Saccharomyces cerevisiae S288C: one gene and its partners. Changing the gene in region 1 together with any one later gene gives a genetic interaction. Each region holds a gene or a part of one and is shown in the gene's direction. Other genes may lie near its edges.

Evidence for each region.
Region 2: mutations in RVS161 (region 1) and SUR2 together harm fitness less than expected from each alone (positive genetic interaction), as found in Saccharomyces cerevisiae (5 studies listed by BioGRID, with this or other methods).
Region 3: mutations in RVS161 (region 1) and MYO5 together harm fitness more than expected from each alone (negative genetic interaction), as found in Saccharomyces cerevisiae (5 studies listed by BioGRID, with this or other methods).
Region 4: mutations in RVS161 (region 1) and CAP1 are lethal when combined (synthetic lethality), as found in Saccharomyces cerevisiae (5 studies listed by BioGRID, with this or other methods).

Annotation. Positions count from the first base shown.
Region 1 is NC_001135.5:128,717-134,684, reverse strand, and holds RVS161 (amphiphysin-like protein RVS161), read left to right. Parts: upstream 1-3,142; coding exon 3,143-3,940; downstream 3,941-5,968. Other genes in the region: putative ATP-dependent permease ADP1, read left to right, coding at 1-961; ADY2 (Ady2p), read left to right, coding at 1,561-2,412; serine/threonine protein kinase SAT4, read right to left, coding at 4,404-5,968. UniProt on the Saccharomyces cerevisiae protein: Component of a cytoskeletal structure that is required for the formation of endocytic vesicles at the plasma membrane level.
Region 2 is NC_001136.10:1,053,272-1,059,198, forward strand, and holds SUR2 (sphingosine hydroxylase), read left to right. Parts: upstream 1-3,279; coding exon 3,280-4,329; downstream 4,330-5,927. Other genes in the region: HDA2 (Hda2p), read right to left, coding at 1-1,376; mitochondrial 54S ribosomal protein mL67 MHR1, read left to right, coding at 1,941-2,621; ATP5 (F1F0 ATP synthase subunit 5), read right to left, coding at 4,905-5,543. UniProt on the Saccharomyces cerevisiae protein: Required for hydroxylation of C-4 in the sphingoid moiety of ceramide. Catalyzes the conversion of sphinganine to phytosphingosine in sphingolipid biosynthesis. Involved in the response to syringomycin.
Region 3 is NC_001145.3:484,785-493,388, forward strand, and holds MYO5 (myosin 5), read left to right. Parts: upstream 1-1,802; coding exon 1,803-5,462; downstream 5,463-8,604. Other genes in the region: ILV2 (acetolactate synthase catalytic subunit), read left to right, coding at 1-1,363; HFD1 (hexadecenal dehydrogenase), read right to left, coding at 5,610-7,208; EUC1 (Euc1p), read right to left, coding at 7,620-8,604. UniProt on the Saccharomyces cerevisiae protein: One of two redundant type-I myosins implicated in the organization of the actin cytoskeleton. Required for proper actin cytoskeleton polarization and for the internalization step in endocytosis.
Region 4 is NC_001143.9:427,327-432,195, forward strand, and holds CAP1 (Cap1p), read left to right. Parts: upstream 1-1,975; coding exon 1,976-2,782; downstream 2,783-4,869. Other genes in the region: sphingosine N-acyltransferase LAC1, read right to left, coding at 1-1,225; SFT1 (Sft1p), read right to left, coding at 2,872-3,129, 3,271-3,306; 60S ribosomal protein eL14 RPL14A, read left to right, coding at 4,580-4,708. UniProt on the Saccharomyces cerevisiae protein: F-actin-capping proteins bind in a Ca(2+)-independent manner to the fast growing ends of actin filaments (barbed end) thereby blocking the exchange of subunits at these ends.

The DNA of each region.
Region 1 (5,968 bases):
CGATAAATATAAAGATAGCGTCTATTATGCAGAGCTTTCACAGGAGATCGAGGAAGTTTTAAGCGAAGGTGATGAGGAAAGTAACGTTTTGAATGGAGATTTACCCACAGGTCAACAATCTGCTGGTTTTCTGCAACAGTTATCGATATTGAATTCAAGAAGTTTTAAAAACATGTACAGAAACCCTAAACTATTATTGGGTAATTATTTACTGACGATCCTATTGAGTTTATTCTTGGGAACACTATATTACAACGTCTCCAATGATATCAGCGGTTTTCAGAACAGAATGGGGCTGTTCTTCTTTATACTAACGTACTTCGGTTTTGTTACATTCACAGGTCTCAGCTCGTTCGCTCTGGAAAGGATCATTTTCATAAAAGAAAGATCCAATAACTATTACTCGCCACTTGCATACTACATTAGTAAGATAATGAGCGAAGTGGTCCCGCTACGTGTTGTACCACCTATACTCTTGTCATTGATTGTTTACCCAATGACTGGTTTAAACATGAAAGACAATGCTTTTTTTAAATGTATTGGAATCCTTATACTGTTTAACCTTGGGATATCGTTGGAAATCCTAACCATCGGCATAATTTTTGAAGACTTGAATAACTCCATAATATTAAGCGTGCTGGTGCTTTTGGGCTCACTACTGTTTAGCGGACTATTTATCAATACTAAGAATATTACAAACGTGGCCTTCAAGTACCTGAAAAACTTCTCTGTGTTTTACTACGCCTACGAATCTTTATTGATCAATGAGGTCAAAACATTGATGCTGAAAGAGAGAAAGTACGGCTTAAATATTGAAGTTCCAGGCGCTACTATCTTGAGCACATTTGGATTTGTTGTCCAAAACCTTGTATTTGACATCAAGATCCTGGCTCTGTTTAATGTGGTGTTTTTAATAATGGGGTATCTAGCCCTTAAGTGGATAGTTGTGGAACAAAAGTAGATAGGCGTCGTATATAGTCTCTTCTTTTACATAAGAAATAATAATTTTTGGCCCCGCAACTTTCCTTATTTTCGAGAGGGTCCACTGCCCGTTGATCCGGAGCTCCGTGGAATAGGCGAGCGGCTGAGTGGTTCTCCAAGCTACGGTTTTTACGTGTAGCCCCATGTGAGCAAGCCAAACAAGGGCCCTTAAAGGCGTGACTACAAAAAGGGGCGGGTTGGAAGGTCATCTGCAGCGAGATACGAAAAGATTTTTTGCCAGATTTGCGGTTGGGCGGCTATTTCGGTATTGTTGGGGTAACAAACGTTGGGGAAGACTGCATTTTCTTACAGCTTTTTTTCGTTATCGCGGGTTGGGCGGCTATGGCGCCTTCTCCTCTGTACTCCAACCTGTCAGAGACACCAAGCTGTATATAAAGCACCTTGGTTGGATCGTATTTCCCTGAGATCTTGCTATAGGTTCATTTTATATATCGTCCAATAGCAATAACAATACAACAGAAACTACTAGCATCTGTTTATAAGAAAAAGGCAAATAGTCGACAGCTAACACAGATATAACTAAACAACCACAAAACAACTCATATACAAACAAATAATATGTCTGACAAGGAACAAACGAGCGGAAACACAGATTTGGAGAATGCACCAGCAGGATACTATAGTTCCCATGATAACGACGTTAATGGCGTTGCAGAAGATGAACGTCCATCTCATGATTCGTTGGGCAAGATTTACACTGGAGGTGATAACAATGAATATATCTATATTGGGCGTCAAAAGTTTTTGAAGAGCGACTTATACCAAGCCTTTGGTGGTACCTTGAATCCAGGGTTAGCTCCTGCTCCAGTGCACAAATTTGCTAATCCTGCGCCCTTAGGTCTTTCAGCCTTCGCGTTGACGACATTTGTGCTGTCCATGTTCAATGCGAGAGCGCAAGGGATCACTGTTCCTAATGTTGTCGTCGGTTGTGCTATGTTTTATGGTGGTTTGGTGCAATTGATTGCTGGTATTTGGGAGATAGCTTTGGAAAATACTTTTGGTGGTACCGCATTATGTTCTTACGGTGGGTTTTGGTTGAGTTTCGCTGCAATTTACATTCCTTGGTTTGGTATCTTGGAAGCTTACGAAGACAATGAATCTGATTTGAATAATGCTTTAGGATTTTATTTGTTGGGGTGGGCCATCTTTACGTTTGGTTTAACCGTTTGTACCATGAAATCCACTGTTATGTTCTTTTTGTTGTTCTTCTTACTAGCATTAACTTTCCTACTGTTGTCTATTGGTCACTTTGCTAATAGACTTGGTGTCACAAGAGCTGGTGGTGTCCTGGGAGTTGTTGTTGCTTTCATTGCTTGGTACAACGCATATGCAGGTGTTGCTACAAAGCAGAATTCATATGTACTGGCTCGTCCATTCCCATTACCATCTACTGAAAGGGTAATCTTTTAAGAGCACGACCTACTAATAACGAGAACTATTGAAATAAAAAAGAGTAGTTTTTTATTTTTCAATTTTTTAATATGATAATTATTTTATGACTTATATAACCACACCAACTAATCGTACTTTTATATGTTTAAATAGAATGGCTGTTTCAGTCGTACACTATTAATAACATTATGTTACTTCGCAATTAAATGTTTTTCAAAGCTAAAACTTCAAAACAAGATATAAACAATGTACAAAAATGATTACGAAAATATAGATGATGTAAGCAAGGTACGGTTATAAACAGTTAACATATAAGTTTACTTCACTTTTTTGCTGACTCCTTTACTTGTCTTCCCTGCACTTTGATTTTACTTCAGAAAAAATAAGATATATGTTTCTGATAAAACTTTTAGGTTAGCGGAGAAGATGTTGCCACGAATATCATGTAATTGAAAGGCAACGAAAGGTCTATCGTTTGCCATTCATAATGTGATTCGACTTGTCTTTTTCATTGTAACAGACATGAAACGTTTCCTTTACGTCCCTATGAATTTTTGTTGGCTGAACTGGGCGCTGCAGGGGCTGGACGATCCAAATGCGCGGATTTTGAACAATTATGAGAATCCGAATTAAAAGAAAGGGAAAACAAATTTAATAACAGGCAGACGTGAGAGAAGAAAAGGAAACGCTGTGATATAGAAAACTATACAAATCCTATTATAAGAAGCCAGAAGAAAGCTGATACAAGATGAGTTGGGAAGGTTTTAAGAAAGCTATCAACAGAGCTGGTCACAGTGTGATAATTAAGAATGTCGACAAGACCATTGATAAAGAGTATGACATGGAAGAACGTCGTTATAAAGTTCTTCAAAGAGCAGGTGAGGCATTACAAAAGGAAGCCAAAGGTTTCTTGGACTCATTGAGAGCTGTGACAGCATCACAGACTACCATTGCCGAGGTCATCTCTAACCTCTATGACGATTCAAAATATGTTGCTGGTGGTGGTTACAACGTTGGTAACTATTATTTGCAATGTGTTCAAGATTTTGATAGCGAAACTGTTAAGCAATTAGACGGGCCCTTAAGAGAAACCGTACTAGATCCAATAACAAAGTTTTCGACGTATTTCAAAGAAATTGAGGAGGCCATAAAAAAGAGAGACCATAAGAAACAAGACTTCGATGCTGCGAAGGCAAAAGTTCGTAGATTAGTGGACAAACCTGCTAAAGATGCCTCTAAACTGCCAAGGGCTGAAAAAGAATTGAGCTTAGCTAAAGATATTTTCGAAAATCTTAATAACCAATTGAAAACTGAACTACCACAGTTAGTTTCATTAAGAGTACCTTACTTTGACCCAAGTTTTGAAGCTTTAATCAAGATTCAGCTAAGGTTCTGTACTGATGGTTACACTCGTTTAGCGCAGATTCAACAATATTTGGACCAACAATCAAGAGACGACTATGCCAATGGGTTATTAGACACTAAAATCGAAGAACTATTAGGACAAATGACAAGCCTAGATATTTGTGCGCTCGGGATAAAATAAATTAATGCTTTTGCCTTTAGTTTTTTACGGTCATTTATGTTTCTTTCATTTAAATTAACAGACCTAAATAGCACTATAATTTACTATCTGCTCTATCTGACCAACCGACTCTTTTTAAGAAAGCAATTAAAAAGCGATAATAACCGCGGGCATGTGTTTTTGTTAACATGAACACAATAAACGTAAGAATGTCTAGCAATAAATTCAAAATTATTATCTTTTTTTTTTTTATTGTTATGTACTATTTTTTTTTTTAAATAAGGTTACAATTCTTTTTTAATTAATGGGATTTACCAATTTGAACGTGATCCGTAATCAGCCAAACGGGATATAAAAGTAGAACAATAGAAGCGAGGAATAAGATACGAATGCCGGATAACAAAGCATTCCTTAGTGTACTAGATTAAGTAAAAAATACCGAATTGTTCCAAAATATCGTGATATTTGAAAGTGAAGTACTCGTTTATTTCAATGCGCGCCCATTATGGCAGCATTTTATCTCCCTTCCCCATTCACTGTTCAAAATTTGTTTCCCGTTAATTCTTCTGTACGGAACGGGATCTAACATCGAATATATAACATTCCTACACCTGGCTCTTTTTAAACTTTCGATTGGCTCATAGCCTCCCTTTTCCTTACGTCCTTTTAAATAATTCATATAAAATGGATCGTCTTTTTCAGCAGAACTCCACAATTGTCTACCAGTTCTCATTGCCATATAAATGACACCACATGCCCATATATCTACGGGTCTTGGATCAAACTCTTCTTTGATATATTCCTCTGGGGCGATGTACGGCGATGAACCGCAAACGCCTCCACTAAGGTGAATATTTTTTTCCCATGCCATCTTGAAACATTCGCTGTTACCAAAGTCTGTAATTTTTAGCACACCATCGTGCGTAAGCAGTAAGTTCTCAGGCTTCAAATCTCTATGACAAACACCCATTTCATGCATATAAACAACACCTCTAATAAGCTGCTTGAAGAAACAATCTGCTTCCATATATTCTAATTTTCCGGCGGCAACGACCAAAGTGAATAGATCGCCACCTGCACAATATTCCATTACTTCACAGTACTCGCCTTTGGCATCTTGGAAAAGATCTAGTGTAGTAACAATATTTGTATGGTGTAATGAAGAAGAAATGCAAAATTCAGAAGTCAACCTCTTAGAATACTTTTCTGCTGATTCGGATGTTCTACGCTTGAACTCTTTCACTGCATAAAGCTTTTCACTTTTATTACCATCTTGAGAAGAAACATTTTTCTTTTGACATATTCTTACTACACCAAAAGCACCTTTACCAAGGACTTCTTGACAGCGACCATACTTTTCGGCAAAACATTGCCTATCTTTTTTAGTAGTAGTGATATTATGCGTATTATTTTTGGAATCTTTTTGATCTGACCTGTATATATCCCTTTCAGGACAATTTAAAGCGCCACTTGTGGGAGCGCCTTCTGGATATTTATCATCCATATCCACGACCTGCTTCATGAAGCCTGCAAAAAGAGTAGGAGGATTCTTGTTGGATTTTAAAGTCGTCTTTGGATCCATTATTATATCAGGGACAGCAGATTTTGCCTCACCACGTAATTTGCTCGCACCAACCATGTTTTTAATCATTGTGCTTAGCTTTTCTTGTCTCTTAGCATTTTTTAAGTGATGTTCATGGGTACCATCTTTATGCACAAGAAACCTCCCACAAATAGGTGCACTTGTATTGGTTATCTTATTTACATTATTAATATTTGAAGCAGTGGGAGTAGGCGCGGGTGTAATAGCAGTATTGCTGTTACTATGATGAGAGAACTTTGGGCTCAAACTTTTGGAGCTAATATTTATGGCTGATGTGGGTGATAAGGATAAAGCTGATACTGACGAAGTTAAAGAAGCAGCTGATGATGACTTAGAGGTGTTAATATCAATATGGTTGTTTAATGATGCGGATGAACTAGAGTGCGATGGTGATGCCGACTGGTAATATTCGGGCATATACATGCCCGGTTTACTCACACCTGCAG
Region 2 (5,927 bases), on another chromosome or scaffold:
TCGTCCAACTGGTTCTGCCGTTGAGTTTCGTTTAATCGTTTCTCGTACAGTGGAACAGTGCCTTTGGCATACTCGTCCTGTATATCTCGCAATCTTATGACGGCTCTATGCATTAACTCTGTTTGGTAGGTTTTGATATCCAATGGTCCGTCCCAAAGGGGCAATTCTGTAGACGAATATTGCAATTTTGTTAATTGAGGCTGCCAAAACCCAGAATCGCTCGAATCTTTGGAGGCCTCATCTAACGTTATCAAATCCAAAACCGGTAAAATGTTATTGCAATCTTTCCCCTCTAAACAACACTTTACCAATTTAATATAATCAATCTCACAGTTGTTCACCGGAGCATTCCTTGCTTGCAAAAAATATAGTAAGGAGGATTTGATCTCTTCATATTCTTGGCTATCATCGACATGACCGTTATTGCTCAAATGCGACGATTTAACACTTGAATTCTTGATTTCAGAATCTAACAAGTAATGATCTGGAGAATTTTGTACTAATAGCTTTATTATCGGAATATCCTTATTGGCATTATTCCTCAGTACCTGCAAAGCGGGCAATTCAACTTCCAACATTGGATCAAAACTAATTATCATATCTATATCATAGTTAGCCAATAGGTATTGATCGTGTTTGAGATGTTTGGTAGTGGCTAAAAACAGCCAGTCATCCGTATTTATTTTTCTTTTTTTCAGGTTTCTTTTCACTGAGTAATCATAGTCGTCCTTAGAATAACCTGTATAAGAGGTCGAATTGGAATTAGAGCTTGTGCTGCTTACAGAATTTGGTGTTCCATCTTTATTTATTGTGGAATCGACCGTAGGTAGATTAGGGAATTTGTGTTTCTCATTATAAAGAGATGTACCGGAAAGTCTCTTGGTTCTGAATTTCTTGCCTAATATTAAACCTTCTAGCAAATCTAATTCCTTTATGCTGTGTGCGATGATGGCACATTTTATAACTTCGTTTGGTGAGCCCTCTCTGTCTCTAAAGCATATCGAATTAATGAGCTGGTTGAGAACTTGAAACTTGTGGCTCCCAGCAATAGAGCTTTCCGTGGGCTCCATTCTCAAAAGCTGTCGAGGCATATAATGGTCCACTAGAAGGGAAGGATGATTGGCTATTGCTCTTATGTTTGAATCAAAGATATAGGTTAATTGCCTTTGTGATAGCGTTGGATACGGATGTGTTTCAGGGCCAGCAGGTAAGCCGGAAGGCTTGTTCACTGCATCTGCCTGTGGTTCTCCTATTATGCTTGCTTTGAATGACTTGGCGTGCAGGGATATCAAAATTTCTGATAAATCCTTTTGAAATTGGGTTAGCGTTACAGGTAAGTAATAGACTTTTAGTTTCTTAGAATTTTTCCTACTCATGTCGATAGTATTGTATCTATTTTCTTTATTTTTCACACACTAATGAAGCCAAATACTTTTACTACTACTTAAACGCCTTCAATCGTTCTCAATTCTGTCTTTTTAAAAAAAAAAATTTTTTGTTACCTCTCCTTTCTCGATGTTCTACTAGTTGTGGTTACTCTTCTGTGCCGCAATTATGTTATTTTAGTAGGACTGTATTTTTTTTTTTTCTTTTGTTGTCGCTTTTCTTATATATCTATATAACTATTTATTTGGGCTGTAGAGAACTTTCTCAGGAAATATAAACTAGGAGACATTCGTGTAAGCAATGAACCATATACGCCACGGTTAAATTTCAGACGTGCATAAAGTTGATGATTCCTGTCAAGTTAACGACTCATTTTGTACGGTAGACGGGAAAAATACATTTCCTACAATATTCTCTTTTCCGATATTCAGATACTAAAGGAAAAAGTGAAAGTAAGGCTATATGATGAAATGTAGAGGAAACGGAAAGAGGAGATCCTGTGAGGAATAAATAGAGAAACAGCGACGGAAAAATCGATATTTCAGGGCAAAAGCATGAAGGTAAACCATTCAATTTCAAGATTCCGCCCCGCTTCATGGTTCGAAAAGACAAAGATAATCCCACCCCAGGTATACATCTTTAGGAACCTAGAGTATGGACAAGTACTATATTCTCAATTTCCCAACTTTTCGCAAACACAGGTGGATAAGCTGTTTGTGAGACCAAACTGGAGCAACAGAAAGCCATCATTGAGAAGGGACATCTGGAAATGTATGTGTGTAGTGAACTTGCAAAACTATAAGCAGAGTGTCCATCTATACCAGAACCTCTGCCGGTTGAGATACCTCCGTGATGTGGCACAGCGTAAGGAGAGTGACAAGCTAAGAAAAAAGGACTCTAACGGGCACGTCTGGTATAGCGGACAGTATAGACCTACATATTGTCAAGAGGCAGTGGCAGACTTGCGGGAGTCCTTGTTGAAGGTGTTTGAGAATGCCACACCAGCAGAAAAGCAGACAGTACCCGCCAAAAAACCGTCCATATACTGGGAGGACCCATGGAGGATGGGTGACAAGGACAAACATTGGAATTACGATGTGTTCAATGCTCTGGGGCTGGAACACAAGCTTATTCAGCGTGTGGGGAACATTGCGAGGGAAGAAAGCGTTATTCTGAAGGAACTAGCTAAGCTCGAATCACATCCTACAGAGCAGACGGAAGTGTCTTCCCAGTAGAACGCTTCGTCATTAGATATACAAATGCAGGTAGAAAAAAAAACATATATAAGCTCATGTAAATAGTGCAATGCAAACCTTTCTGCCAAATCCCGTTCCACGGAAAAACACGTGCTGTGCGGGTATCCGCAAAAAGAAGATAGGTCAAAACAGGAATACACAGGGCTAGTCTTTATTACTGCCGCTGCTGCTGCTGCCGCTGCTACTGCTGCTGTTGTGTGACTTGAAACGCGTTTTATCCTCCTCACCTTATCGTCATTTCTCTATCTTTTTCACTTGCACAGCTTAATAAGCTTTTCGACCTCCTGTTTCCTATTGTCTTATTCCCTCACCCCGCGTCCTTCTTCGGGCAGTCGCGCTTTTCTCCGGCTTCTGCGGTTTTTCTTAGTCTTTCCGCACCAATTTTCACAGAAAAATTTCTTTTTGGGTTACTAAAAATTTCTTGTTTGCTATTGTCTTGATTTATTTCACTCTTTCTTCATCCTGCTGCGCTGTTGTTGCCGCATTTTTCGTTTCGTGTTTTGGGATTATAAAAGAAGTAACGATTTACATATCTTCTATTCCCTTGCATTTACTCCGGGTCTTCGTCTTTACTGTTTGGTCTGGGTATTTCTAACATTCTAGTCCGAAGAGGGTGTATACGAAAAGAAAATATACGATGAACGTAACATCGAATGCAACTGCAGCCGGTTCCTTTCCACTAGCATTTGGTCTCAAGACCTCATTTGGGTTTATGCACTATGCCAAGGCCCCTGCCATTAATTTACGCCCCAAGGAATCCTTGCTGCCGGAAATGAGTGATGGTGTGCTGGCCTTGGTTGCGCCGGTTGTTGCCTACTGGGCGTTGTCTGGTATATTCCATGTAATAGACACTTTCCATCTGGCTGAGAAGTACAGAATTCATCCGAGCGAAGAGGTTGCCAAGAGGAACAAGGCGTCGAGAATGCATGTTTTCCTTGAAGTGATTCTACAACATATCATACAGACCATTGTTGGCCTTATCTTTATGCACTTCGAGCCGATCTACATGACTGGGTTTGAAGAAAATGCCATGTGGAAGCTTCGTGCAGACCTTCCTCGGATTATTCCAGATGCCGCTATTTATTACGGCTATATGTACGGAATGTCCGCTTTGAAGATCTTTGCAGGCTTTTTATTCGTTGATACATGGCAATACTTTTTGCATAGATTGATGCATATGAATAAGACCTTATACAAATGGTTCCACTCTGTTCATCATGAACTATACGTGCCATATGCTTACGGTGCTCTTTTCAACAATCCTGTTGAGGGCTTCTTGTTAGATACTTTGGGAACCGGTATTGCCATGACGTTAACTCATTTGACTCACAGAGAGCAAATCATTCTTTTTACCTTTGCCACCATGAAGACTGTCGATGACCACTGTGGGTATGCTTTGCCACTTGACCCATTCCAATGGCTTTTCCCTAATAACGCTGTCTATCACGATATCCACCACCAGCAATTTGGTATCAAGACGAACTTTGCTCAACCATTTTTCACTTTCTGGGACAATTTGTTCCAAACTAACTTTAAAGGGTTTGAAGAATATCAAAAGAAGCAAAGACGTGTCACCATCGACAAGTACAAAGAGTTTTTGCAAGAGAGAGAATTGGAAAAGAAGGAGAAACTCAAAAACTTCAAAGCTATGAATGCTGCTGAAAATGAAGTAAAGAAAGAGAAATAACCCTTTTGCATACCTCCCGTTCAATTGCTGGGTAAAGGCAATGTCTCCGACTTCCCACGTTTGTATTTATTATCCATTTATATACATCAAGACATATTATTAAGTGTATAGGCGTGACTTTGACTATATATTTGATTTGTAACGAAAGAATACATCAAAATTCAACTATGAAATGGTTATTATTGTGCATGCACATCTTGAATTATCAAAAAGGTCTTAAATGTTCTTCGGACTTTCTTGAAATCTTCGAAAACTGATGAGAATTCTTCATTATTTTTTTTTTTCTTCTTTTATTATTTTTTATGTTTATTCCATATATACACTTATAATTTTTTTTTTTGCGATTAATATAAGTTTGCCTGGATACACGAACATATATATGATTAAAATGGTTGTCTCGAACAAAAAAATTCACTTTTTAGAGGGGTTTCTTATTTATTCGTATATGTACGTAATTTTGATGTTTAGGAAAAATTCACGGAAAAGAATATATATTTGAACAGAATCAAAAATTAGGAGGGAGGCAAAGAAAGTAACATCAAACGAGTTGAGCATATCCAACTATATTATTAACGTTAAATGCTGTCCTCTAAGACCTTATTCAGTTTTTGAATCTTTGTAGAAATGCTTAAGTCAACAGTCTTGTCACCAAGTTCTACAATCAAACCACCCTTAATCTCTGGCTTAACCACGTTTTCCAGCTTCAAAGATTTACCTTGCCCCACCAATTTGGAGGCGCTCAAAGCTTTTTCAATCCTCTTGAAAGATTTAGGATCCAATGGTTCAGCACTAGTCACTGTACCTTTAAGTAACCCGTTGTGAGCATCGTTTAAAACGCCAAAGTCAGACGCAATTTTTTCAAAACATCCCAGTCTGTTATTTTCGGAAAGAACCTTCAATAGGTTAACGACATAACCATCCAAATTCTTGTGAGTCTCCACGATGGCATCAATGACAGAATTTCTGTCCTTCAATGACAATGCAGGATTCAGTAATAAGTGACCTAATTTTGGATTCTTTTTGACTGTGCTTTCAACTTTTTGCAAAGATTGAAAGGCAGCATCAATAGAGGAGTTCTTTGCAGCGGCCTGATATAAAGCTGTTGCGTAAGTGCCCTCAACACCGAACAATCTCACCGGTGGGGGAGCAGCAGCTTTGGAAGCAGCAGCTCTTAAGCTTGATGCAAATGACCTGGTAAAGACTCTATTAAACATGATTGTCCACGGTTTAAAAATAATGCGGTAACTTGCTAATCGGTTCTTACTCTGCGGAAAAATATCTCAATGCCACAGTAGCCTGCTTAAATTTCCAAGTTGACTGAATTTTGTTTTCAATGAGATAAAAACTAGAAATACTGTACACAAAGTTAACAATTGGCGTTTGAAATTGTTCCTAGATAATTGAAAGTTTTACTATCTCGCCAAAAGATCACTTCATTATCTTTAATTCCTTGTTTTTCCCACCCGGGCCCGGGTAAATGATATTTCAAATATCAGCATCTTATTGGCCAGCACCGTCTCTCGAAAGTGTCCACTTTATGACGACGGCATAAAATATAACGATTTATTGGACGTAAGTAGTTTTATAAGTTACTAAAC
Region 3 (8,604 bases), on another chromosome or scaffold:
TGAAATTGCCACGAGCGGTAGACCGGGACCAGTCTTGGTCGATTTACCAAAGGATGTTACAGCAGCTATCTTAAGAAATCCAATTCCAACAAAAACAACTCTTCCATCAAACGCACTAAACCAATTAACCAGTCGCGCACAAGATGAATTTGTCATGCAAAGTATCAATAAAGCAGCAGATTTGATCAACTTGGCAAAGAAACCTGTCTTATACGTCGGTGCTGGTATTTTAAACCATGCAGATGGTCCAAGATTACTAAAAGAATTAAGTGACCGTGCTCAAATACCTGTCACCACTACTTTACAAGGTTTAGGTTCATTCGACCAAGAAGATCCAAAATCATTGGATATGCTTGGTATGCACGGTTGTGCTACTGCCAACCTGGCAGTGCAAAATGCCGACTTGATAATTGCAGTTGGTGCTAGATTCGACGACCGTGTCACTGGTAATATTTCTAAATTCGCTCCAGAAGCTCGTCGTGCAGCTGCCGAGGGTAGAGGTGGTATTATTCATTTCGAGGTTAGTCCAAAAAACATAAACAAGGTTGTTCAAACTCAAATAGCAGTGGAAGGTGATGCTACGACCAATCTGGGCAAAATGATGTCAAAGATTTTCCCAGTTAAGGAGAGGTCTGAATGGTTTGCTCAAATAAATAAATGGAAGAAGGAATACCCATACGCTTATATGGAGGAGACTCCAGGATCTAAAATTAAACCACAGACGGTTATAAAGAAACTATCCAAGGTTGCCAACGACACAGGAAGACATGTCATTGTTACAACGGGTGTGGGGCAACATCAAATGTGGGCTGCTCAACACTGGACATGGAGAAATCCACATACTTTCATCACATCAGGTGGTTTAGGTACGATGGGTTACGGTCTCCCTGCCGCCATCGGTGCTCAAGTTGCAAAGCCAGAATCTTTGGTTATTGACATTGATGGTGACGCATCCTTTAACATGACTCTAACGGAATTGAGTTCTGCCGTTCAAGCTGGTACTCCAGTGAAGATTTTGATTTTGAACAATGAAGAGCAAGGTATGGTTACTCAATGGCAATCCCTGTTCTACGAACATCGTTATTCCCACACACATCAATTGAACCCTGATTTCATAAAACTAGCGGAGGCTATGGGTTTAAAAGGTTTAAGAGTCAAGAAGCAAGAGGAATTGGACGCTAAGTTGAAAGAATTCGTTTCTACCAAGGGCCCAGTTTTGCTTGAAGTGGAAGTTGATAAAAAAGTTCCTGTTTTGCCAATGGTGGCAGGTGGTAGCGGTCTAGACGAGTTCATAAATTTTGACCCAGAAGTTGAAAGACAACAGACTGAATTACGTCATAAGCGTACAGGCGGTAAGCACTGAATTTCAAAAACATTTATTTCAAAAGCATTTTCAGTAAAAAATGCAGACTTTATTATTATTTAATCGTGCTTCTTATATATGACATTCTACCAAATCGGTAGTCATGTATATTTTTTTCGTATATACTTTATATATTTTTTTCTAAAAAACTAATGACGGCTAAAATTAAGTCATAGATGAATAATAAGTTCAATTCAAGTGAGTTGGTAGTATTTGATAAATCTAAAGTGGATACGTAGCATATGTATTCAAATGGTGTGTTTTAACTCGTCGGACACGACTTCTTTCTCGTTTTGTCAATCATCAAAAATATTTCTCGAAAAGGGGCCGTCAAAAATTGCAAGCTTGGAAAATACAAACTGGACTATGTATTTAAAGGTTATAGTTTATAATAAAGCATAAGAACAGTGGCCAATACGAATTTAACCGCTTTATAGAAATGGCTATCTTAAAAAGAGGAGCTAGAAAAAAGGTACATCAGGAGCCAGCTAAACGCTCTGCGAATATCAAGAAAGCTACTTTTGATTCCTCGAAGAAGAAAGAAGTTGGTGTGTCTGATCTGACGCTTCTTTCTAAAATCTCCGACGAAGCCATAAATGAAAACTTGAAGAAGAGATTTTTGAATGCTACAATCTACACTTATATAGGTCATGTGTTAATTAGTGTCAATCCATTCCGAGACCTCGGAATCTATACTGATGCTGTTATGAATGAATACAAAGGTAAGAATAGATTGGAAGTTCCACCCCATGTATTTGCAATTGCAGAGTCTATGTACTACAACATGAAATCATATAATGAAAATCAGTGTGTTATTATTTCAGGTGAATCAGGTGCCGGTAAAACTGAAGCAGCTAAAAGAATTATGCAATATATTGCGGCTGCTTCTAGCACACATACGGAGTCAATTGGAAAGATTAAAGACATGGTTTTAGCCACTAATCCATTGTTGGAATCTTTTGGCTGTGCAAAGACTCTAAGAAATAACAACTCTTCTAGACATGGGAAATATCTAGAAATAAAATTCAATAACCAGTTTGAACCATGTGCTGGTAATATCACAAACTATTTATTGGAGAAGCAGAGAGTTGTGAGTCAAATTAAGAATGAAAGAAATTTCCATATATTCTATCAGTTCACGAAAGGTGCTTCCGATGCTTATAGGCAAACATTTGGGGTCCAAAAACCGGAACAATATGTGTACACAGCTGCTGCGGGTTGCATATCTGCTGAGACAATTGATGATTTGCAAGATTATCAAGAGACATTAAAAGCTATGAGAGTTATTGGTCTCGGTCAAGAAGAACAAGACCAAATTTTCAGGATGTTAGCTGCAATTCTTTGGATTGGTAATGTTTCCTTTATAGAAAATGAGGAGGGGAATGCGCAAGTTAGGGACACCTCAGTAACCGATTTTGTTGCTTACTTGTTACAAATAGATAGCCAATTGCTGATTAAATCACTTGTGGAAAGAATTATGGAAACCAATCATGGTATGAAAAGAGGGTCAGTGTATCATGTTCCATTGAATATTGTCCAAGCAGATGCGGTTAGAGATGCTTTGGCAAAGGCTATTTACAATAACTTATTTGACTGGATTGTGAGTAGGGTTAACAAATCTCTGCAGGCTTTTCCAGGCGCTGAAAAATCCATTGGTATTCTTGATATTTACGGCTTTGAAATTTTTGAACATAACTCTTTTGAGCAGATTTGTATCAATTATGTTAATGAAAAGTTACAACAAATCTTTATTCAATTGACATTGAAATCTGAGCAAGAAACTTACGAGAGAGAAAAAATCCAATGGACCCCAATTAAATACTTTGATAACAAGGTTGTGTGTGATTTGATTGAGGCAAGAAGACCACCTGGTATATTTGCAGCAATGAATGATTCTGTTGCAACTGCACACGCGGATTCAAATGCTGCTGATCAGGCTTTTGCTCAGCGTTTGAACTTGTTCACAACAAATCCACATTTTGACTTGAGATCTAACAAGTTTGTTATTAAGCATTATGCCGGTGATGTCACATACGATATTGACGGTATTACAGATAAAAATAAGGATCAATTACAAAAGGATCTGGTAGAATTAATTGGTACCACTACCAATACATTTTTAGCCACCATTTTCCCGGATACTGTAGACAGAGAATCAAAAAGAAGGCCACCTACAGCAGGCGACAAAATTATAAAGAGTGCAAATGATTTGGTTGAAACTTTATCAAAAGCACAACCTTCATATATCAGAACAATTAAACCAAACGAAACCAAATCTCCTAACGATTATGACGATCGGCAAGTTCTACACCAGATTAAGTATCTAGGTCTGCAAGAAAACGTGCGTATCAGAAGAGCAGGTTTTGCATATAGACAAGTGTTTGAGAAGTTCGTGGAAAGATTTTATTTATTATCTCCACACTGTTCTTACGCTGGTGACTATACATGGCAAGGTGATACCTTAGATGCTGTTAAGTATATATTGCAAGATTCCTCTATCCCACAGCAGGAGTACCAATTGGGTGTCACAAGTGTTTTCATCAAAACACCTGAAACATTATTTGCTTTGGAGCATATGAGAGATAGATACTGGCACAATATGGCTGCCAGAATCCAACGTGCTTGGAGGAGATTTTTGCAAAGAAGAATTGATGCGGCCACTAAGATCCAGCGCACCATCAGGGAGAGGAAGGAAGGTAATAAGTATGAGAAGCTCCGGGATTATGGTACGAAGGTTTTGGGTGGAAGAAAAGAAAGAAGGTCTATGTCCTTATTAGGTTACAGAGCCTTCATGGGTGATTATCTATCATGCAACGAGTCCAAATCGAAGGGCGCTTATATCAAAAGACAAGTGAGCATTAAAGAGAAGGTCATCTTTTCCATACATGGTGAGGCCTTGCATACAAAATTTGGCCGTTCTGCACAAAGATTGAAAAAAACTTTCCTATTAACTCCAACTACATTGTACATTGTTGGTCAGACTTTGGTCCAAAATGCTATGACCTATACTCAGGATTATAAAATCGATGTGCGAAACATTCAAGCGGTTAGTTTAACCAATTTACAGGATGATTGGGTCGCCATTAAGTTGGCTAGCTCAGGTCAACCTGACCCCTTAATCAACACATATTTCAAAACAGAACTCATAACGCATCTGAAAAGGCTTAACGACAAAATTCAAATTAAAATAGGCTCGGCGATAGAGTACCAAAAGAAACCTGGAAAGTTGCATTCAGTGAAATGTCAAATCAATGAATCTGCACCAAAATATGGCGACATATATAAATCCAGTACAATATCAGTTCGTCGTGGTAACCCACCTAATTCTCAAGTGCACAAAAAACCGAGAAAAAAGAGTTCAATCTCTTCAGGATATCATGCTAGTTCCTCGCAAGCAACGAGGAGGCCAGTTTCGATTGCTGCAGCCCAGCATGTTCCCACCGCCCCGGCTTCTAGGCATTCTAAAAAGCCTGCCCCTCCACCACCAGGAATGCAGAACAAAGCTGCTACAAGAAGATCTGTTCCTAATCCTGCTTCCACTCTCACTGCATCCCAAAGTAATGCCCGTCCTTCTCCCCCTACTGCTGCCACTCGTGCTACACCCGCTGCTACACCCGCTGCTGCCGCAATGGGCTCTGGTAGACAGGCAAATATCCCTCCACCACCTCCTCCACCCCCACCCTCTTCAAAGCCAAAAGAACCCATGTTTGAAGCGGCTTACGATTTTCCTGGTTCAGGATCACCATCTGAGTTACCTTTAAAGAAAGGAGACGTAATTTACATTACAAGAGAAGAACCAAGCGGTTGGTCTCTCGGGAAACTTCTGGATGGCTCTAAGGAAGGTTGGGTGCCAACAGCTTACATGAAACCACATTCCGGAAATAATAATATCCCTACTCCTCCTCAAAACAGGGATGTTCCTAAACCCGTTCTGAATTCTGTACAACATGATAACACCTCTGCAAACGTTATTCCAGCTGCAGCCCAAGCAAGTTTGGGTGATGGTTTGGCGAATGCGCTTGCTGCTAGGGCCAATAAAATGAGATTAGAGAGTGATGACGAGGAGGCTAACGAAGATGAAGAGGAAGATGATTGGTAATCAAAATGTATTTAGCGAGTATATACTCTATACGAGCAAATAGAGTAAATTGTAATTAATAAATATTGATATATTATCGCCCATATGAAATTTTTAAACGAAAGGTTACTTATACATCAAATAATTAATTAACCTTAAACATTACGTTCAGGAAGAACAATGAGCGTAAATGGTACTAATTAAAATAACGGCGGCAGATAATGAAAAATATTGGCGTAACCCCCACTTGTTATTGCCATTTCTGTCAAACCAAGGTTTTCTTTCCATCGCAAAACGGACGAGCTTTTCCTTTTGTGCGCTATTTGGAGGGTATCTCATAAAAAGGGTAAAATCATTCCAATATGGTTGTTTAAAAATTGTTCTTTCATGACTAAAGGTATTGAATCCATAATATCCACCATAGTTACCATAACCTGAAGTACCGATCCCTCCAAATGGAGCGTCGGTAATTCCTACATGAATCACTGTATCACCGACAACACAGTCACCAGATCTTAAGCGCGTCAAGATACGATTTATTTCAGTTTGGCTATCAGAGAATATGTATTGCACCAATGGAGTGTCATGTTCTTCTATTATCTTGTTAATGGTCTCATCAAGATCCTCGTACTCAATGATGGGCAATACAGGAGCAAAGTTTTCCTGTTTCATCAAAGGATCATCCCAACCAATGTTATAAACTATGGTTGGTGGTACAAGGCATAGATCCTCAGTATCTGAATTGATAGAAATTTTTGAAGGCACAATCTTGGAGCCGTTAGTTGAGTTTATACTTGCAACGGCCTTTTTGTAAGCAGGCTCATGAATCATACGAGTGAAATCTGTTTGTTCATCAAAGCTTGGATAAAATTCATTTAGTACTGATTCACACTCTTTAATGACTTTTGGATAGATAGATTTATGTACTAACAAATAATCTGGTGAAACACAAATCTGGCCAGAATTTCCGAAAGCACCAAAAAAAATCCTTTTCAAAGCAATTTTTATGTTACTTGCTTTGAAATTTTCTGTAATAAAGGTAGGTGATTTACCACCAAGTTCAAGTACACAAGGTGTTAGACTTTTTGCTGCTTTCTCAGCAACTATTGATCCGACACGGGGAGAACCTGTGTAGAATATTAGGTCAAATTTTCCACAATCTAGTAGTCTTGTAGTTTCATCTATAGCTCCCTGAACTACTTGAATCAATCCATCAGGGAAACCAGCTGTGGTTAACAAATTTTCCATAACTACAGCAGTGTGTGGTGTTAGTTCACTTGGCTTCAGAACAATGGTGTTACCTGCAGCAAGAGCTGCTGCCAATGGGGCAAATGCTAAAAGTAGGGGAAAATTGAAAGGAGCAATAATCAAGACACTGCCCCTTGATATTTTCTCCACGATTGTTTTACCAAACATAAATGGAGGAGAAGAATCAGATACTCTCCGAGGTTTGATCAATTTTGGTAAAATCTCAATTAGGTGAAGTATATCGTTCATAAGTTTGGTCGTTTCATTCAGAACCGATTCAATTTTGTTCCGATGAAAGTCCTTGTACATAGCATCGATCAGTTCTTCCTCATGATCTTTGACGGCATAATAGAGTTTTTTCAACTGCAACTGCCTGAATTCTAGATCTTTTTTCCTTGGGTTATTTTCGTGGGACAATTTCAATTGTTTCTCAAAGAAGAAATTTCTTGAGATTTCAACTATTTCATCTATTTTAGACACTGGGGTATAATTCAATATTTTTGAGCCGTCGTTTGACATGTTGGTGATAAATTACTATGGCTATGGTTTTAGAATATTCCTTTTAGATAATCAATATGCCTGAAGTTTTGTTTTTTATATATGGAGTATCCGTTTATCCCTAAAATCCGAAGAATCTCCTCCTAAAACGACAAAAAAAAGGGTAAGCAATCCACCATCTAATTAAATCACTAATATTAGATTGAATTTTCGAACCTATCTAAAAGTGGGATCTTGATGTAAAATTGACTGATAGATAAAAGGCTTGGAGTCGATAGTTGATATATCAGTACACCGGTAATTGTCTATTATATACCCTGTTGGCATGAAATCCATATAGGACGGTATATATTTATATATAAAATGCATGTAAAAATCTTTCATCATGAACTACTCGGAATTTTTGGCTGGAAATTCGTTGTTCCATTTCCTCTAAGTGTCTTGATCATGTTCTGGTGTGCCTGTACTGGAATTTGGTATACTATGTGGCTGCTGTAATGATAATCTAGCTTCTCTCTCTTCTAACAAGAAAATTCTTCTTGGCTTCCCTCTTCTCTTTAGAGTAAGTGAATAGTCTTCGAGTTTGTCCATTTTTTTGGAGAAGTATTCGTATAACTGGGACATTGATAATCGGCAATGATGTCCTTTGAAGGTATTGTTTCCCAATCTTATATTTTCGACAACCTTGATGGCTTGGTTTCTACTTATTTTATTCTCAGGTAGCGACAAACCATATTTGCTTGGATCATCTTTTATATCTATTATTCTTTTTATGATGGTCATTCTTTTAGTGAACAAAGTCCTTTCTTTGGCAGATCGCCTCCAAGTGGACCCATATCTCCTCTCAAGGGAAAGAACTGACGGTTGGCCCGGTAAGCCTTCAAAGTATTCACGGGCCGCATCTGTAACGTTCTGGATTGCACGATTTAGTTTATATGACGTTCCAACGCACCCTCTTCTGTTTCTGATATCATTCTCGTTTCCTGTTCCATCGAGTTGGTTATTACTGTCATCAGCATTGCTAACAGAATCGGGGTTATTTAAAGGTAGGTTCCTGGTGGTAGCGTTCTCATCACTTTCATTACCATCGTATTCCCCATTTTCAAAGTCTGACAGCCCTGGCTCAGGCTTGATACGAGGATCGCCGGCTAATATGCTTGCGTGCATACTATATTCTTGCCAGTTTGTTGATCTTGACTGACTTTGATGAGCTTGCGTACTTGTTGATGGATTTCCAACACGAGCAGCTTCCTGAGGAGTAACATTTTCCCCAGTATGGTCTATAAATCTTATTCTCTCCCCAGTCATAATACCAACTACCTCTTTGAAGACTTCTTTCATTGCGGAAACATCTTCAACATACTTATTGATGTCTTTAAATCCTTTCTCCAACTTCTTTTGATTCTCTAGAAAGAAG
Region 4 (4,869 bases), on another chromosome or scaffold:
TTGGAGTAGTGGAACTTTCATCACTTTCTTCGTCTGATTCACTATCACTTCTGTCATCCTTGAGAATACCTCTCCATAGAATCCTGTAAAGAACTCTAAAAATAAGGAACAGCCAATAAAGATTCACTAATTGCAAAGCGCCTATCAATACAAAGACAATTGGTAAGGAAATCCAACATTTATATTGCTGAGTGGCAAAATTCAAGACATAGTTACCTTCCGTGCGAAATTGCGTTAAAACGGACCATAGGATCTTTAAATTTATGTAATGACGCAAATAAATCCACGCAACAACAAAGATAGCAAAAGAAAAAAAAGCCAATCCAGAGTCCAAATAATTTAGAGTTTTGGAGAATGACAAAAGAAAATCAGAAACATCCATTGTGATATAGATTGGCAGTCCCATTTTAGTGAAATGAAATACGTAGGAAGACCAAATCAATAGTAAAGTAACAATATGATGGAAAGTCAACTCGTTATGATCTTTTCTTGGCTTTTCTAGTTGCAATACAAGAATGCAGGCTTGTTGAGCCCAAAATGCAGCTTGACCCAAATAGAATACCTTGAATAAGAAGGGATTAGTGAAATCTGGATATGTTCTGTACATTGCCTTTGTGTTGAAAAACCATAAATCCGAATGGTACATACAATATATCCCGAAAGGACCGGAAACACCGGTGTAGAAAATAGCGTACATTTGTTCCATGATTCTTTTTATTCTGTGCTTAGAAGTGACGTGTAACCTAATAGCGAACGGTCTAATGACAACATCCATTAGGAATTCACGTAAGAATGTGAAAAAAATCATATAGTAAAATACAAAGCACAAATCGTTAATACCTTTACCATATGCGTTGGTATCACCTATTTGGTATGACACAGCGACAAATCTATGTAACACATTTGTCTTTGTAGTGTTACCAGAAGTGAAATAGGCACTATATACCGCGATTAAAATCATCAAGGGAGCTATCCAGGCATGACGGTAACTTATCTCTCGGAATGAAAACCAGATTTTCTTGACCAGGTCGCTATCATTTTTGGTGGCTTCAGATAATCTCTGCATACGCCTTTTAGCAGCCGTTTTAGATTCTTTTGTCTCGAACATAGTACCTAAACTAGGTACAGTGTCCCCGAGGTCGATCTTACCTATGGAAGACTTGCGTCTTGGTCTTGACCTCACTTTCAAATTGTTGTTTGAAGGGCTTGGCTTTATTGTCGACATAGCTCTTGTTTATTGATACTGTGTCTATCTAAATGTTTACCGGAGGTATGAATAATAAAAACAATAGCGATCAACCGACAAAAATATCTGTATGGAACAGAAAAACGGTAACGAACAAGAAACTGTAGTTTTAACTTAAATCAGGTCCGGATTATAAAGCCGATGTAGCAGAAAAACGGGTTCACGGAATACAATAGCCAAATAACAATAAATAAATAAATAAATAAATAAGAAAAAAAAAAAGCAAGTAAATAAAACAAAACGGGATGCAACAAGCCAAGGAGGGAAACAATAGAAAAATAACTTAAAAATCTTTGTCTAGATTCCAATACTTTCTCCCTCCTCCCACGTTATTTGTCTAGCATGATCAGGTACAATGCCCACCGATATGAGAAAAAAGAGTGAAAAAAAAAAAATGACGAAAATGGTTCCGCGGATCTAGCAACTTTGTTGGAATGACCGGAAAAGACAGTTGTTTCCTTTCCAACTATTTTTCATTCCTGGTCTTTTTCCTGTTGAAGCCCAGCATTTTTTTTTTCGCGTCGCGTTTTTTCACAACAGTTCGGATCACGTGATAATCACTGCACGTGACTATCATGTGATACGATAGCCGGGTTATGATCCCCTTTTTCTTCCTATTGGAATACTGATTTTACAGTGGCTAGTACTGGATTTGAGTATAGGAAGGTGTTAGCAACTGTAAGGTACTATTCAGACCGTTAATCCAACGGATCATAAGAGCGACAGAAAATGTCTAGTAGTAAATTCGAAGAGGTCATCAACAAGATCATCAATGACAGCCCTCCAGGAGAATTAAGGGAAGTATACGACGATCTAATCAAGATCACAAGTGAAAACTCCAAAAATACTATTTTGGATGCTATTGAGAATTACAACGTGCAGAATTGCATCCCTATAGAAGTCAACGGGAACTCTGTAATTATTTCCAAATACAACAAGGAAGGAGCAAAGTTTTTTGATCCCGTAAATTCCGTAATATTTTCAGTTAACCATTTAGAGCGCAAGGGCCTTGACATTGAACCATATGAGTTCACGCATGCAAAGATAGAGAAAGGGCAATTGAAAGAACTGCACGATAAATTGCACGAATATCTTCTTCAGAGCTTTCCAGGTGATGTCAGTTTTGCTGTTTACCCAGTCCCTGAGGAAATAAGTAAAATTTCTATTATTATTGTTAGCACCAAATATAATCCAAACAATTTCTGGAACGGCCATTGGAGATCAAGCTACATCTACGATTTGGAGACCAGGGAGTTATCCGGTCAAATCTCTACGCAAGTCCACTATTACGAAGACGGTAACGTTAGTTTCCAATCTGGGAAGGATATCAATCAATCTAACGTTGATGACGTTGTTTGCACAATAAGGGATATTGAGACGAATTTCGAAAATGATCTAGATCTTTCATTTTTCGACTTGAACGAAAAACAGTTTAAGGCCTTAAGAAGAAGATTACCAGTCACGAGATCCAAAATTAACTGGGGTAGTGCGATTGGCAGTTATAGATTGGGTAAGAATGCGGCAGAAGGCAAATGAAATTTCATGCCTGCCTTATTCCATTCTCTTCCTATTTCTTAAATTGAATACATCTATGTACATTATTTATTTTTGGCTTGATTGGCTCACTAAAATAACTTAAACAGGGTATATAGAATGAAGAATATTAATAACGCCAAACCCACCATTCTCCATATGCTATTACCAGCCTTTAATGATCGGGTTAACCTTGAGGACGAATTTTTGATATCGGTAAACATCGATCCCAATGAATCTGTCATTTGGTTTATGACAGAACTGTCAGAGACCGCTCGGTCTCCAATCTCTTGGTTTATGTTTCTGAATGTAGCTAATTTATTGGCTAACCCCTCTAGTTTCCTATCATTCTGTTTAAAGTACATGTACATGAAGGGATGATACATCTGCTCATCCGGTGTACAGAAGCAATAGTTAGTAGCTTATAACATCCATATAGCAAGCTAGGTCCCATTCTAAACACCTATGCGTGTTGCCGGTGATTTACATACGTTTGATTCGGTCTGAGAATACCTAGAATTTGACATCGCTATGATGATTATATATTACCTTTCTACCGTTCTCTCCTTGTTGAGTTCTTCCAGTATCCTTCTTAATGATATACCTTATATTATTTCCTCTTTTTTTTTCTGCATGTAGCAATGCGCGGCTTCTTGCAATAACAAGAAAACTAGAGTAGCTAATTTACTGCATGAACCGTACATTCAGCAACAAGAAACATAAGATACTTACCGCACAATATTCATTGGTCAGTTACCGTACACACGAAGATCCTTTCTGAGTAGCGTAGTTTAAGGGAGCACACATTTTTAAATTCTAAACATTGCCTCAAGATGTTCTCCCATATACAAGGAAGGAATATTGAGCAACATGGTTAATCTGCCAGTTGCAACAACGCAAGTGTTATTAGAAATATTGTTCAAGGAAAATATCAGATAAAAAATTTTTCGCACTTCGCTAATCACCCATATAGAACATGGCGGTGTTCCAAGTGATTAGCCCTAGATCGCAAATTATATCATCATTCAGTTACCTTTCTCATTGAATCTTCTTGATAAGAACTACTGGTACCTCAAATAGGAACGAAATATGATACCACTGTATCATACTATCATTCTCAACACATTTGTTATATATTTTATGTTTCTACTGAACCTTTTGTCAGTCATCTCACTAGCAGCTGCGATTAACAGTCATCGGATATTTAAAATTGAAGCTTTTAAAATTGAAGCTTTTAAAATCAAACATGAATACACATTGGAGTTCACTGAAGAAATTAGGTTTAAATAAAAAAATCCAGCATTAGTTGTGAAGTAAAAAAAGACAAAACCAGCAAATTCTTGCCAGAATGTAACTATACTCTGAGTAAAATAATTGACAGCGCAAATACACCCATACACTATTTTTACATCTTGACATCACATACATAATATGTGTGAAATATCAAATTTTGAGTGTCCGTTATCAATTTTTTTTCGATTTTGCATTTTATGAAGCTTCAAACAGGTGTCGGCCTAACTTTCCGCCCGGAAAAGAGCGGTTTACGAGAGATTGCTGCTTGCAGCTGCGTGCATTTTTCCATAATCGGGTTTCCCTTCAGCGCGCAGTGTTTCCATTCTCAGCCCAATTGGCAACGGAGAGAGCGTAGAGCTTTCAGTGGACTGCCCTTCGTACTCGTCGAGTACTATTGAACTGAAAAAAAAGTAATCTAAGGTTAAGTTGATCAGGTCTGCCGATTGTATAACAAATTTAATTGTTTGTCTTAGTGAACAAAGAGAGTCGTGAAAAATAAAATAAACAATGTCCACCGATTCTATTGTCAAGGCTTCTAACTGGAGATTAGTCGAAGTTGGCCGTGTGGTTTTGATCAAGAAGGGTCAATCCGCAGGTAAATTGGCCGCTATCGTCGAAATTATTGACCAAAAGAAGGTATGTTAAATCCGGAAAACCTATCATCGATTTGAGGAGGGAAATGAACGAGGAATGAGATTTAGGCTACGAAAAAGTGCTGGCAAATATCCAATCCGTTACCATGGATGAAGCTACTTGTAAACGATAAGTAAATGTGAAAATACACATTGCGATAGAGA